2 linked regions of the Nothobranchius furzeri genome follow. The protein of the gene in region 1 purifies or fractionates together with the protein of each later gene. This does not show direct contact. Links are inferred from orthologs where the notes say so. Each region holds a gene or a part of one and is shown on either strand. Other genes may lie near its edges. The genes, in order: vbp1 and pfdn2.

Region 1 (7,918 bases):
TTCTCATTTAAATTAAAACAGAAAAATAAAGATAGAAAGTAGGCCTGGGACGATAACAGAATTTGTTGGACGATATATTGTCCAACAAATTATTGACGATAAATGATATTATTGTTGACATTATCAAGACCAAAATAACCACTTATGTAATGTTAATATATCATAATAATGCAAGGACACCCATTAAAATGCAACAATTAAACCTTTATTTAACATGGGAATGTCCAGACCCTGAACTTCTAAATAAATAAAACAAACAAAAAATAAATAAATATAAAAGTGCTTTCACTCTTTTAGAAAATATTGCACCAAAAACAATAACGTAGACCCCGTCTCCAAAACAACAAATACAATGGCCTATCCAGTGTCAAGAACCAAACTGCACTTCAATAATAATTGTACATTTCTTAACCTCAATATATTGAGGCTTGATTATTGAGTTCATTTTCAGCCCTAATATGAAGGGAAAATAACACGCATTGGAGTGAACAATAATGTCACAATTAGATCAAAAGTTCAGAATACCATTATGTTTAATGTGTAAATGAATGAAAAATACCAATGACAGACTAAAAGGGTTAAAAATCAAATTATAGATACTTGTAATGCTACCAGATTTGTAGGTGATGTTCTTTGGTTACGATGAGTGGATAAACGGCATCATATTAACAATTTGGGTAATTTATTAATTACTTCAGTGATTTTTCTTCATGGCAGGAGGAAGGTTTACACCTGGACACATTCTCAGATTACAGCACCTTACATGAGTATAGAAATTCTCATTTTCTTTTGTCTTTGTCTTTAACACAACAAATGCATTAATGTAATGAGATAAATAGATTTTTTCTTTTATTATCTGTGCATCAAACCATTTTATAGAATACAGTAACTTTTTTTTTTACCAGTGCCCAGGCGATTTACTTCTGATGCTGTCAAATCAAATTTAAACTGTTCAATCAAAACTTTCTGTGAAAAGTACTTAACTGTTAAATCACACATTTTTTCTCATTTTTAACAGAAAAGCTAAAAGATCATATTTATTTTAAACAAAAGATTATATTATATTTGTATTTATAAAAATGTTTGTAATTTTTTTGGTTTGTTACATTTATTTGTTTAATCTGACACTAATTTAGGGTTTTAATTCTCACTAACCTGTTTTATGGTTTCATTTATTGTGACTTTGAACTTATAGGTATAACAAACGGAAAAGTATTTTAGGAAATGGTAAGACCTTATTTGTGCTTCCATGTTAAAAACACAAAGGCCAATTCAGAAAAGTGTAATTTCATATTTTGTCCACCAGACGGCGCTGCAAACACATCTCACTGAGACTTTAGACATTTGACTTTGTGGTATTGAAAGTCTCATTTGTGGAGTAGTTATATAGGCCTTTCTGTTTTTTAATCCCTGTTTGCTGTTTTCCAGGAGGATGTCGACTCTTTTATGAAGCTGCCTGGCAACGAGACGGCAGACTCTGCTCTGAGGAAGCTGGATGAGCAGTACCAGAAATATAAGTACATGGAGCTCAACCTGTCCCAGAAGAAACTCCGGTAAAACAGAAATACAAACACTACGAGTTATTCGGGTTACATTAATACGTGCATGAATTGATATGTGTGCACCTGGTAGATCTGTAAAGTAGGAAAGCTGGATGCTTATTTATTTAACTAAAATCATTCTTATTTAATAGGTTGAAAAACCAGATTCCACAGATCACACAGACGCTAGAAATCCTACGACACATGCAGAAGAAAAAGGTGGGTGAAGTTCTGTAAACCAGCTCCATACTGGAAGTGAGTCTTCTCCAGTTCCTCTAGAATGACAACATAGGGATGGGTGAAATAAGCTACCGTAAATCCTCTAATACAGGCCCGGGTCTGTATTTGACTCAAGCTCATCAAGCTCCAGGCCTTTATTGGAAGGAGGACCAGAATTAGAGGCAGGCCTCAATTTCTATTTGAGCAAAATGAACTAATGGTTCGCTGGAGTTTTTGACAATTAGAATTGCGCCCACATTTTCAAAGTTAAACACATTTCTTTTAACAACGGTAGTTTCTGCTTCAGCCCTCTCCCCCTGCGCAGCGGTGCAAACTCACTGATGCGCCTGCAGCCTCTCGGAGTTCCTGCTGCTCTAAACATTAAAATAATTATTTTCTGTTCCTCACTTCTGATTACCTTCAATGGTGTCTGTTTGTTGCAACCACCAGGTACAAAAACTAACTTGTTTTTATTTGACTATTTTTCTGTCCTGTCTGTTTATTATCTTCCTGCATCTCCTCTCAATCCTAAAGAGAAACTGCTACCTGGGTTCATATATATTCACCTTATGAGTTACCTTTGAGCTGCAGTTCTAAAAGATCTACCGACCACAAAAACAGCGGAGTGCTCGCTGCTTGCCGGCCGCATCAGTGATCGGTGCGTCACAGAGGACAAAACAGGTGATGCACCCCGATCCACAGCAGCTAAAAGCATCAGGCACAAATAAAAGAATAAAAGACAGAAAACATAAAAGGAAATGAGCCGACATGAACGATTGCGTGTTAAATTAGTTTTTGAGGTGGCGACACTTGATTTGATAATGTTACTGTAGCCGTGCTCAGGACGCAGATGTCTGGAGTGCGTCAACAATCAGAGCTTTGCATGCGCAAGCTGGTTAAGGTTAGGATGGGGTGAGGGGAAGGTTAAATTGCAAGAGGGTAAACGTCACAATTTGGTTAAATGTCCGTTTTACGGCGGGTGTCAGTACCGACGCTCTGGCACAGCGCGTTGCCTCCCGACACGCAGGAGCTTGTTAATTGAATACAGGCCAATATTAGAGGATTTACGGTATGCTTCTTTCTTTGCCTTTTTGAACTATTTTAGTCTGTGTTCTTTGATATAAGCTGGAAAGTCATATATGGCGAGGCCATTTAATATATACAGTTGTGGTCAGAAGTTTACATACACTTGTAAAAAATATAATATAATGGCTCTACTGAGTGTCCCGTTATTTCTAAAACTCTGATTTTTCTCTGATAGAGTGATTGGAACAGATACTTCTTTGTCACAAAAAACATTCATGAAGTTTGGTTCTTTAATGTCTTTATTATGGGTTAACAGAGAAAAGTGATCACATTTGCTGGGTCACAAATATACATACAGCAACATGAACTAGCAATTTTGTTGACTTAGAAACGTGTCAGTGAACTGAGCTTCATAGCATGGCCTCTTAACTTCTTGTGAGTGATTATGAGTGACTACAGCTGGTGACTTCTCTTAGGCCAGGTAAATAGGGCTCATTGGATACAAACGCCCACAAACGCTACAATGGGAAAGTCAAAGGAGCTCAGCATGGATCTGAAAAAGTGAATTATTGACTTGAACAAGTCAGGAAAGTCACTTGGGGCCATTTCAAAGCAGCTGCAGGTCCCAAGAGCAACAGTGCAAACAATTGTTTGTAAGTATAAGGTGCATGGCACTGTTTCATCACTGCCAAGATCAGGAAGAAAACACAAGCTATCACCTGCTGCTGAGAGAAAATTGGTCAGGAGGGTAAAGAGTGAACCAAGAATCACCAAAAAGCAGATCTGCCAAGAATTAGAAGCTGCTGGAACACAGGTGTCATTGGCCACAGTCAAACGTGTTTTGCATCTCCATGGACTGAGAGGCTGCCGTGCAAGAAGGAAGCCCTTGCTCCAAAAGTGGCACCTTAAGGCTCGGCTGAAGTTTGCTGCTGATCACATGGACAAAGATAAGACCTTCTGGAGGAAAGTTCTGTGGTCAGATGAAACAAAAATCGAGCTTTTTGGCCACAATGCCCAGCAATATGTTTGGAGGAGAAAAGGTGAGGCCTTTAACCCCAAGAACACCATGCCTACAGTCAAGCATGGTGGTGGGAATATTATGCTATGGGGCTGTTTTGCTGCCAATGGAACTGGTGCTTAACAGAGAGTAAATGGGATAATGAAGAAGGAGGATTACCTTCACATTCTTCAACATAACCTAAAATCATCAGCACGAAGGTTGGGTCTTGGGCGCAGTTGGGTGTTCCAACAGGACAATGACCCCAAACACACATCAAAAGAGGTAAAGGAATGGCTAAATCAGGCTAGAATAAGGGTTTTAGAATGGCCTTCCCAAAGTCCTGACTTAAACCCCATTGAAAACATGTGGACAGTGCTGAAGAAACAAGTCCATGTCAGAAAGCCATCAAATTTAACTGAACTTCACCAATTCTGTCAAGAGGAGTGGTCAAAGATTCAACCAGAAGCTTGCCAGAAGCTTGTGGATGGCTACCAAAAGCGCCTAATTGAAGTGAAAATGGCTAAGGGACATGTAACCAAATATTAGCACTGCTGTATGTATATTTGTGACCCAGCAAATGTGATCACTTTTCTCTGTTAACCCATAATAAAGACATTAAAGAACCAAACTTCATGAATGTTTTTTGTGACAAAGAAGTATCTGTTCCAATCACTCTATCAGAGAAAAATCAGAGTTTTAGAAATAACGGGTCACTCAGTAGAGCCATTATATTATATTTTTTATAAGTGTATGTAAACTTCTGACCACAACTGTATATATATATATTTTTTTTTTACTTACTTTTGTTGTTTTCTTTCTTTTGTGAATTCAATATTATTTAACCTCGTTTGAGAAGAAAAAAATCATGAAGTAGCTGATTCTACCCCTAGACCTAAAGGACATAGGTAATGGAATTCCTTTTTTAATTTATTGTGGTACCTTTTGTTCCCACAGGAAACTACGGAGCGAATGGAAACACACTTCCTCCTAGCTGACAACGTTTACTGTAAGGCCTCGGTGCCGCCCACTGACAAAGTTTCTTTATGGTTAGGGGTGAGTAGCACTCAGGATGATGTCTGGTTTTATGGTCTTTGACTCGATTACAGTGGTGATCTGGTGTTTGCAGCTTCTGAAGTGATTAAAATAACCTCAAAGGGACAACCACACAACAGATTCCAGCTTATTGAGCTGTTCGGGATTGTTGTTCATGTTTATGACCCAGATGGACTCACATCTGACTCTATAGCACTTTAGTCTACAGAGAAGTTCATGATCCACTCAATGGCTGTAATGAACCCAAACCATCAGTCTTCCACCACCGTGCTGACAGCTGATACCACGGCTTGTTCTAATGTGCTGTGGTTGGTTTTATCCAGACAGTGCTATACATTATGGCTAAACATGTCTGCTTTGGTTTCGTCCATCCCTTAGGCCACTTTTCTCTCTGATGTTAACACACACCTGTATGCTCCAGACCAATACACCTTTGTAGAGGTGAAGATGATCATTGAATCAATATTTTCCACTTTCCGTTGGACTTCATTTGACTTTATTATAGTTTATTAAATAATGATGTCGAATCTGTTGTGTTTTGTAGACTTTGGGTTAGATTAAAACCTGATCACTCATTATATCATGGAACATTAAAGAGGACCAAAACGTTTCTCCCCTAAAGGCTAACGTCATGTTGGAGTATGACATCAACGAAGCCCAGGCCCTCCTGGAGAAGAACTTGTCCACAGCATCTCGTAACCTGGAGACCCTCGAGGAAGATCTGGATTTCCTGCGAGACCAGTTCACCACCACTGAAGTCAGTATCCTTCCACTGAGTGGTCCACTCTCACTGATCTGTGTCTATGGATGGCCACATGGATCAGAGGGAAGATTTGGAGACTTTGACCAAAAGAGAAATGACCTTTTCAGATCAGAAATAATTCCATTAGCTATCCTTTTATTAGGAAGGAGGTCACTGGTGACACTGGTTCAGTAAGTCACAGGACATGCAGTGTTTTTATAGTCATGAACAACATGGTGGGAATTAAAGTAAGTGAAGAAATGTGATCATTGTTATTGCATATTAGAACAGCCTAGATGGTAACATTTGTTCCAGCTGGGTGTTGTTTCAGTCATTAACTCTTTGTTTGGTTTGAGTTGAAGTGACTCAGCAGATCCACAGGAAACTTAAACGGCTCCAGAGGTTGCGAAGGTCAACATTTATTTAGTTCAGACTGGGAAATTATAGCCACTTTTACCCTGTTTACCAAAAGATTCAGCAAGTTTTAAACGATAACTCATTTTATCTAAGGTCACATGAGGTCACACAGGCTGTTTTTGTAATAGTGCAGTACAAATTGCATACGTCCTCGTCAAATCAGCGTCTTTTTCTCAACAGTCTTTCAATGTACATATACATATTATAATACATCATTAGAAAGCTGGGAGTCTTGTGATTCCAATGATAAATGGTCGTCGTCGTCTTCCTCCGCTTATCCGGGTCACGGGGGCAGCATCCCAACTAGGGAGCTCTAGACCGTCCTCTCCCCGGCCTTCTCCACCAGCTCCTCCGGCAGGACCTCAAGACGTTCCCGGACCAGATTGGAGATGTAACTTCTCCAACGTGTCCTGGGTCGACCCGGGGGCCTCCTGCCGGCAGGACATGCCCGAAACACCTCCCCGGGGAGGCGTCCAGGAGGTATCCTGACCAGATGCCCAAACCACCTCAACTTGCTCCTTTCGATCCGGAGGAGCAGCGGTTCTACTCCGAGTCCCTCCCGAATGTCCGAGCTCCTCACCCTATCTCTAAGGCTGAGCCCGGCCACCCTACGGAGGAAACTCATTTCGGCCGCTTGTATCCGCGATCTTGTTCTTTCGGTCATTACCCAAAGCTCATGACCATAGGTGAGGATTGGGACGTAGATCGACCGGTAAATCGAGAGCCTGGCTTTGTGGCTCAGCTCCCTCTTCACCACGACATATCGGCTCAGCATCCGCATCACTGCAGACGCCGAACCAATCCGCCTGTCGATCTCCCGATCCCTCCTACCCTCACTCGTGAACAAGACCCCGAGATACTTAAATTCCTCCACTTGAGGTAGGACCTCTCCCCCGACCCGGAGTTGGCAAGCCACCCTTTTCCGGTCGATAAATGGTGTTTACAGATTTAACCAGTTCTGTAGACACAATAACAGCTTGTTACACCACTCAGAAATTCTAAATATGGTGCTTACAGTTCAAAGCCTCTTCACTGACAGAATAGAGCAATCTTGAACAGTTATTTGTACATCCACAACGGTCCAGTAGAAGTACTCCAATAAAATAATTAGCTCACAACAAGTCTTTCATCCACAAAAGAATAAATAAATAAAGCTAACGGATCTCTGAAACCCTACAGAATTTCTTTCAGATGCGCCTTTCTAACCATAAACCCCGTAGGCACCTTCATAATAACTTCAAACTTTCTATCATTCATTGGGTGGATGGTTGCCCCCTCTCCTGGGGCAAAATCTTCAGTGATTAGCTGGTGGGTCAGAAGTGCCCCCCCCCCCCCCCCCCCCCCCCCCACACACACACACACACACACACACCCCTTCTCACATGTGTAGTTTAAACCAATTGCAGCTAAGTATGTTGATGAATTGGCAAATAGCCGATGAAATCCAGAAAACGACTACCTCTAACTTAACCAGCCCCTCGAGGTCGGCTTTGGCAAATGTGGTAAGGCTGATGGCGATTGTTGGATTGTTGTGTGTCAGGCCCACAAACGTCACCCATAGTCGTTTTGGACCGTTTGAAAACATTTAACGTATCACCCATCCTTATCGACCGGTTTTGATTTTTAGTGCATCTCTGCTACTTACCGACATCATTCATCTAATTACTGATGTGTGTCTTCTGACTTGCATTAAGATTAGTACTGCAGTCTGGAATAAAAGCAGACATTTTGCTTTTAGATCAAATGTAGCACCCCTGAGGTTTGAAAAAAGGTGAAACCTTGGAGTTGGTGGGCGTGTCTACCTTCCCTTTGAGGTTCCAACAAAAGTACATTTAAAGCTACAGTGGTTCAGAAACCTGCTGACATGGCCCTTTAGGTTGATTTTTTTTGTGTTTTATATCACGGTGAACCTTCTGGTTT
Region 2 (8,412 bases), about 5.3 Mb from region 1:
TATCGGGAGGGGCTCAGAGTAGACCTGCTGCTCCTCCACATCGAGAGGAGCCAGTTGAGGTGGCTCGGGCATCTGGTCAGAATGCCTCCTGGACGCCTCCCTGGTGAGGTTTTCCGGGCACGTCCAACTGGGAGGAGGCCTAAAGGTAGACCCAGGACATGGTGGAGGGACTATGTCTCTGACCTGGCCAGGGAACGCATTGGGATTCCCCCGGAGGAGCTGGCCCAAGTGGCTGGGGAGAGGGAAGTCTGGGCCTCTCGCCTTAGGCTACTGCCCCTGCGACCCGACTCCGTATAAGCGGATGAAAATGGATGGATGGATTAAATTTGAGCAACAATCATAGACCATGTTGTTGCCCATGGGCTGACAATGAGGGAAGCAGGACTTACGAAAGCAACCCAATTTGAGCCTCAGGAGGGAAAATATTGCATGTGATGTTGATGATGTGCTGTGGCCTGACCCAGCCCACAGACAAGAAGAGGTCCATTGATAACATGTTTAGTCATTCTATGTTTTTCATTTTATGTATTTTTTTTCACTGTCATTGTACACTGTAGCACAATGGACTGCAGGCTGTTTATGGTACAATAAACACATTGTATGGCCCTGAACATTGTGCTTTCTGTTTTTTGGTTTACTGTTTACTGACTGCTTGTTGGTATATGTAATTTTGAGTAATTTGTTTGCGATTCGAGAGTAGTGTTTGATTTTGAGCACAGCTAAAACCGTTTTGAGGCGAAAGTTTGATTTTGCAAGAGGAATGAGAGGTTGTGTAAATCGTGCTTGAAGCTGAGGTTTTGTGTTTGATGTTTTGAGAAAAGGGAGCAAGGTTTCAGGAATTGTGCTTTAGCAATTGAGAAAAACTGTAAATGTGATCATGTTTGCCAATTTCACAAATTTGATACAGTAATTAAAAGAAATACTTCAGTTTGACCAAATAATTAAAACAGCCAGCAATTTTCGTGAAGTACGGAGGAACCATAAACAATTGCAACTCAACCGGAACAAGTGAGGGAACAAGGTTTTATCTTGTCAATACTGGTAATGGTCACTTATCTGTTTCTCACCTCTCAATTACCAATCTGCAACGTTTAGTCAAAACGAAAACACACATAAAAACTCAAAACACCTACCTGAAGACTTACTCCGGCAAGGAGAGAGGGACGCTTGCCTGCACAAGCACACTAGCTGTCAAGCCAGACTAAATAAATATATTATTTAAATTTTGCAAAGCAATTATTTGGTCTAGCTCACAAGGCTACGAGCACGCCATAATCAAATGTGCATGGACAAATCTGAGGTCAGGTTGAAGGGATGAGCGAAATCTCTCAGTTTCAATGTTCCATTTCCGTGCAGGGTTTAACCAATCAAATGTTCATATTTGTTCCAACTTTTGAGAACCAGACTTTTGGGTGCAAGCATTGGACCAATCAGTTTTTGGGCGCCAGTCAAAAAGCTGGATAGTCTCCCTCCGAGTCTCAACCATGCTTACACAGCTTAGGTTCTGTAACTACACATAAGTACCTTTTAGACTTGTTTTAATATTAAAATATAGTTTTTGAAATAGGTTTTCAAAGCTGTACAGCGCTGTTAGTCGTTTTATGGAGACCTTAGTTTTTTGGGCTGTCATGTGATGAAATCTAAAGTCGTTTAGCTAGCTTGCTATGATTGCTGCTTTCCGCTAGCCTAGTGAACCCAAATTCTTGCCTTGCAATAATATATTTATTAATTCTGGCTAGCCAGGGTAGCTTTCCGCTATTACCACAATATAGGCCTACGCATGTACTTTGGCAACTTTTTTTATGAACATAAATCATCTTGATTGTCCTAACAACATCGTTTGAGTGTTTATCCAGTTATTGATTCGTTACTGATTCACTTTATCTTTGCAGTATTGGAAAATCCAGCCAACTGGGTTTGCTAATTAACCTTTGGCTACAGAATCTGTTTTTTTATTATTTTTTTGTGATATTGTTATAATGTGCTGTGGTCATGTGTAACATTTAATATGGTCCGTTTATATGTTACTCTACAAGATAACAAAAAATTAACTAAACGAAAAGTAAGAAAATTTTAATGTCTTTCATTTAAATAAACCCATGTTTGGGCTTCTCCTGTTCGTTTTTTAGACATTTTAACAAATTTCAATATGCCTTTGTTTTGAAAAAACAGTTAAAATGGTGATAAAAATTTTTGTTGATCACTTTTGGATTCAAATTTTTTTTTCTAGAATGGTTCGTTTGAAATAAGTCTGAAAACACGTTTCAGAGACTGGCTTTTACTTTGAAAGCGTTCATAAGCACTATTTCCGTAAAGCTTTGGAAGTGTGTGCAGTGTAAAAACCGAGTGAGAGCTCACTGTACTGTCGAGTTGAGGCAGGCTCTGCCGCAATGACATAATCTGGTGAGCATGAGAAACCTCTTCCTTTTCTCCATTTTTCCTTTTGTGTACTGGCTCCTGTTCATGAGTCACGTTTAATTATTTGTTGTTTTTCAGTCCTTTACATCCTTTTCGCAAAAATGTACATCATTTTTAAAGCTTTGTGCGTTTTCAAAGCTGACATACCAATAAATTTCGATTGTGTATGCTTAATGACAATGCAAAAGGATCTAATTCTGACATTAACTTTTTTTTAATGTCTTTAAAAATTTCATCCCAGTGCAACAGGATTTATATGCTAGATGAGAAAGATAAATGTTTTTACTTATGTCAGCAACTTCAAAATCCTTTTTATGGCATTTTAATTTATTTGCTGAATGTATGACAGCATTTTAAAAAACATCTGCAAGGCAAATGACCTTAATGAGGACATAAACAACTGAACAGAGAAGCAGATGACCATGATTATTACAACTTCCAGGAAATTACAGTTAAACAAGAAAACTAAAAGGAACATTATGAAAAGTTCAGTTTTCCACCTAAATTCCTTGACTTGAGCTAGTTTTCATTTCTTCTTCAGTGCTGCAGAAATAACAGGGCACTGCTGTCCCTGTCCATCCTCAAAGCATTATGAGACCAGAACTCCTGCTCCACTTTTGGATCCTCCTCCTTCATTGTCTTGCGAGTTTGCTGCCGACTGGCCCTGCGCCTCTCCTTCACCCTCTCCAACCAGCCGGATATTGTAACGTTCTCTGTACTCTGTGAGCTCCTGTCCTTTTGCCTGCATCTGTGTGTTGATGGTCTCGATTATTTTGGAAATCTATTAGAACAGAGGAAGATGGATGAGAAATCAGACAAACGAAACATCCTGCAGTTGACACCTAAACGTTTATTTTTGACTTCAAAACCTATAAACAAAACTCTTTCTTGTGAAATTATGTAGATTAACTCGATGTACACTTATTGTTATTTTGGTGTTAAATAAGTGATTTAAAATGTCTCAGTTTATTCTCCTGATCATTCCTGTGACCGAAATAAATAACATTACCTTTTCTTTGTTGTTTTCTAAGGCTGGTAGAACTTCTTTTACTGTCCTTTCCACCAACACTCCTCCAACCAGACGAAAGCATTTCCTGGAAGGATCCACTTCCTTTAGGGTCTCAATTACTAAACTAAATATGAAAAGAAATAGCAAAGGTATTAAACGGTCTGTCTTTTGGATTGTTTCCCCTACAAAATCTTGTGAAACATTTGTGTCTAGAACATAAATGTAGATGATGCTCCACCAACCTGTGCTCGTTGACATCCATCTCCAGCTCAGCAGCTTTCGAAGCCATACTACGCTGCTCCTGACGCATCCTCTGAAATGTTGCTACCACCTGAAAACAAATGGAATTTGATCATTTTTTTATTAAGTATAATAAATAAATAAAAAACAGATGCTGCTACTCCTTAGTTGTCTACTGAAACCAAACTCTTAAAGTCATAACTGGTAATTAGCATATTACAATTTTGTTTAAAAGATTATTAAATAAATGTACATAATGCAGCAACTCATTAATGGTAAAGGTTTAATTTTATTATCAGATTTAATCTACAACTTTTTAGAAGTAGTGGACATAAACTTTGTTTATTTGATGGTTTTAATCACCATTTACGCAGAGTCATAGACTTTATATGTAAGAAAATAACAAAAAGGTTATGATACAATATGGCAATATTTACATTTTATTATTATTTTTGTAAAACCTGATCAATAAAGGTTTTGACACATATTTGAAGGTATTGCTCGACTCTAATGTTGCCATTATTGTTGTTAAAGGATATATTACGGACTACAGTGCACTGTATTACAGACATTACAGCAGTGATTTGTTTAATATGGTCTGAGTAATAATTTATTAGGGTTAGGTGGACAAAAATAGCTTTATGCTTAGTCACACCAAACCAAACACATTATTTCAAAACCGTAAATACATAGACTAACGTAAAAATTGTTAGAAGTAAGAGTTTGATGTAAACTCTCATAATGTCCTTATTAGACTCCTAACGGTTCCCGATGTCCAAATTTGGGTTTTGAGCCAGATGATCGCGACAGGAATGCTAATGTTAGCTTAGACTAGCTAGGGGCTATACTTTTAGTTCTGCTTTACCAAACTGAGCCAAACAACAACAGAAATAATTGTAACGACAAATGAAACCTTTTTATATAATTGAGAGTACCTGTTCAGCTGAAAGTCCGGACTGTTTTCCGCCGGCGCTGCTGCTGGACTTGCTACCCGTGCTGCTACCGTTCGCTGCCATCTTGGAAGGGTGTTGCCAATTAGGACCCTGCAGCTATCTAATGAGATTGCCTGAGTGCAAATGCGGCTTGTAAAACATCTAAATTACTTTGCAACCATCTTTTACTTTTTCATGTAAAAACTCAGAAGCAGAACCGCAAACAAAATACAACTTAATTCAACATAAAATAAAATGGCATTTGAAGGAATAATTTCTATTAACTTCCATCAACTTTGTATTGTTTTTGTTTTTTCGTGCATACGCTTTTTTATTTTATGTTTATGTTTATTTATTTGGCAGAGGCTTTTATCCAAAGTGACTTGCAATTTATAACGTATGGGGCATGTTTTGATCTGTGGGGGAAACAGGAGTACCCGGAGGAAACCCACGCATGAATGGGGAGAACACGCAACACGCAGAAAGGCCGCAGCCGAGTTTCGAACCTGCAACCTTCGTGCTGCGAGGCAACAGTGCTAACAACTGCGCCACCATGCAGCCCATTTTCCGAATCTAGCTTATTTATTAAAGCAGTTTCTGCATCGTGGAGTTTTAGACGTGTTTTTTCTCTTTCAAATATTCTTTATTTCAGCCAAAGGACATATTAATCATTAAATTAATTAATTTGCACACCGCCAAGACAAGACAAGACAGCTTTATTTGTATAGCACATTTCCTATACAAAGGTAACTTAATGTGCTTTACAGCAGCCTATAGGTAACATCAAAAGCAAAACAAAAATGAACAAAAATAACAAAAGTTTTCATGTTAGACAATAATCAGAAGCACACCGTACATAAATTAAAATCAATAATTAAAAACAAATGAAGAAATACATGTAAATTTTTAATACAAAAATACACTTAAATGCATTTATCGACATTTTTTTATTTTTATAATTCAAACGCTGTAAAGGACTGCTGAAAGCGGATTAACCTCATACAGACCTCTAGATTTTTATTTGCTCTGGGGTTTTCAGAAGATTGAACACATTAAATGTGTTGTTTGAATTTGTTTTCAAAAGCAACAATGCATGGTTTAGTGCACCTGAACTTAAATTTATTAATGTAAAACTTTGCCATAATAATCAGAATGATTACGAAAAGAGTTGTAATTGAGAAACACACAATATTATTGTCAATATGTCTTCAAAGTTGACTGAAATGCGACGTATACGTGCTGTTTATATCTTATTAGTGAACTAGACCAAACGTTTGCTTTGCAAAATAATATATTTATTCAGTCTGGTTTAAGGGTATTTTTGATAGTTATTTATAAACCTGTGTTATATTTGAATGATTATGATGCATTTATAATACTTTAAAAACAATTTTAGGAGTATAAAAACATTGCCAACTCAAAAACTATTCCACATCCTAAAACAATGGACTTTTCATTACATTTAAAGTTTTATTTTATTTTATTTATTTATTTTTGTTTTTTTGTTATTACCACATATTGTTATAAAAAGTCTCCAGTAGGTGGCAGTAGGGTGCTATATGTACATTTCTGGTCATTTTTTGCATCGCAGAGAAGAAGGGGCTGCTCGCGTTATGTAATTGTCGATGGTTAACCAAACGTTATAATAACACCAGCTGGGTTTAAACTCCTCAGGTGACGCTGTATGGGACCAATGTCCAGGTGCATTTTGAGATCGTCTGTGAAGTACTTGGCTTCTCTGCCGACGTTGCTGCAAAACAGGTGCGTTTGTTTATAAGTACTGAAACCAAACAACGCACTGCTAGATTTTATAAGAATTTTGTCACGTGCATTTGTTCTGCAAACAACAAAAATATGGAGCATAAATTCTCACATATTCACGATTTGTGTCACCTGGAGGAGTAGTAAATGTGTACAAAATGCAACATAACAGAGACAGGAATCAGGGAGCAACCATCCCTGACTTGAAATGCTTCATCTTGTGATCACTGGATTTGTAAAAGTTTGTTTTCCACAGGATGTCCAGCTCACGTGCCCCGTTGGCCGCAGTGTGTCAAGTGACATCTACCCCTGACAAGGAAGCCAACTTCTCTGTCTGTGAGCAGCTGGTGCAGGAAGCTAAAGAGAGAGGCGCCTGCATGGTCTTCCTGCCTGAGGGGTTTGATTACATCGGGTCCAGCAGAGAAGAGACACTGTCCCTTTCAGAGACACTGGGAGGAGACACGATCTCAAAATATGCTCAACTTGCCAGGTTTATTAACACATTTCGAGTTTTATTCTAATGAAACTTTGTGAAATGTTAAAGAAGTTAAAAATGAAATTCCATTTTTGGTTCCTATTAAAACACAGGAAAGGTTTTTCTTTACCTTGCTGCTGACGCAAACGAAACGTATGTCAGCAGCAAGGTAAGGAAAACCCTTTCCTGTGTTTTAAAAATAACCAAAAATGGAATTAGAAACTAAACACAGTAAGAACGCACCAAAGAAGTTAAAAATCAGTATACTTGTTTGCTTCATACTGTCTCCTCCTTGAACCGTCTCCTTATCGTGGTAGAGGAGTTTGAGTGCCCTAATGATCCTAGGAGCTATGTTGTCTGGGGCACTTTGTGCCCCTGGTAGGGTCTCCCATGACAAATTGGTCTTAGGTGAAGGGTGAGACAAAGAACGGTTCACAGGATCTTTCATGGAGGTAAAGTCAAACAGTCGGAGTACCCGGCCCGGAGGGTTACCGGGGTCCCACTCTGGAGCCAGGCCTGGGGTTGGGGCCCGTGAGCGAGCGCCTGGTGACCGGGCTTTCACCCATGGTGCCCGGCCGGCCCCAGCCCAAACCAGATACATGGGCTCATCCAACTGTGGACCCACCACCCGCAGGAGGAACATGAAGGGTCCGGTGCAATCTGGATCGGGTGGCAGACCAAGGCGGGAGCCTTGGCGGTCCGATCCCCGGACAAGAAAACTGGTTTTTGGGACATGGAACGTCACCTCGCTGGCGGGGAAGGAGCAGGAGCTTGTGGCAGAGGTTGAGCGGTACCGGCTAGATATAGTTGGACTCACCTCGACACATTGCATTGGCTCTGGAACCCAAGTCCTTGTTGTCCTTGTTGTACACTCTCCTTTGCTGGAGTTGCTCCGGGTGAGAGGCGGAGGGCTGGGGTTGGCTTTTTGTTAGCCCCAAGACTCTCTGCCTGTGTGTTGGGGTTTACCCCGGGGGACGAGAGGGTAGCTTCCCTGCGCCTTCGGGTCGGGGAATGGGTCCTGACTGTTGTTTGTGCTTATGGGCAAAATATTAGTTCAGAGTACCCACCCTTTATGGAGTCCCTGGGACGAGTGCTAGATAGTGCTCCATCAGGGGACTCCATTGTCCTGCTGGGGAACTTCAATGCTCACGTGGGCAATGACAGCTTGACCTGGAGGGGTGTGATTGGGAGAAACGGTCCGCTTGATCTGAACTCGAGTGGTGTTTCGTTATTGGAGTTCTGTGCAAGCCGCAGTTTGGCCATAATGAACACCGTGTTTGAACATAAGGATGCCCATCGGTACACTTGGTAGCAGTGCAGCCTAGGTCGCAGGTCGATGATAGATTTTGTAGTCGTATCATCTGACCTGCGGCTGTATGTTTTGGACACCCAAGTGAAGAGAGGGGCGGAGCTGTCAACTGATCACCACCTGGTGGTGAGTTTGATCAGATGGCAGGGGAAGATGCCTCGTAGACTTGGCAGACCCAAACGCATAGTGAAGGTCTGCTGGGAACGCCTGGCAGAAGAACCTGTTAAGACGGTCTTCAACTCCCACCTCCGGCAGAGCTTTGACCACG

Evidence for each region.
Region 2: the proteins of vbp1 (region 1) and pfdn2 fractionate together in Homo sapiens (co-fractionation; 8 studies listed by BioGRID and IntAct, counting the BioPlex papers as one, with this or other methods). This does not show direct contact. The link is inferred for Nothobranchius furzeri from reciprocal best matches to the Homo sapiens genes VBP1 and PFDN2.

What each region holds. Positions count from the first base shown.
Region 1 is NC_091742.1:80,074,786-80,082,703, reverse strand, and holds part of vbp1 (prefoldin subunit 3), read left to right. Parts: intron 1-1,428; coding exon 1,429-1,553; intron 1,554-1,693; coding exon 1,694-1,760; intron 1,761-4,740; coding exon 4,741-4,839; intron 4,840-5,461; coding exon 5,462-5,600; intron 5,601-7,918. UniProt on the Homo sapiens protein: Binds specifically to cytosolic chaperonin (c-CPN) and transfers target proteins to it. Binds to nascent polypeptide chain and promotes folding in an environment in which there are many competing pathways for nonnative proteins.
Region 2 is NC_091742.1:74,818,697-74,827,108, reverse strand, and holds pfdn2 (prefoldin subunit 2), read right to left. Parts: upstream 4,906-8,412; 5' UTR 4,684-4,905; coding exon 4,603-4,683; intron 3,759-4,602; coding exon 3,670-3,758; intron 3,552-3,669; coding exon 3,428-3,551; intron 3,200-3,427; coding exon 3,008-3,199; 3' UTR 2,725-3,007; downstream 1-2,724. Other genes in the region: nit1 (deaminated glutathione amidase), read left to right, coding at 6,284-6,360, 6,617-6,850. UniProt on the Homo sapiens protein: Binds specifically to cytosolic chaperonin (c-CPN) and transfers target proteins to it. Binds to nascent polypeptide chain and promotes folding in an environment in which there are many competing pathways for nonnative proteins.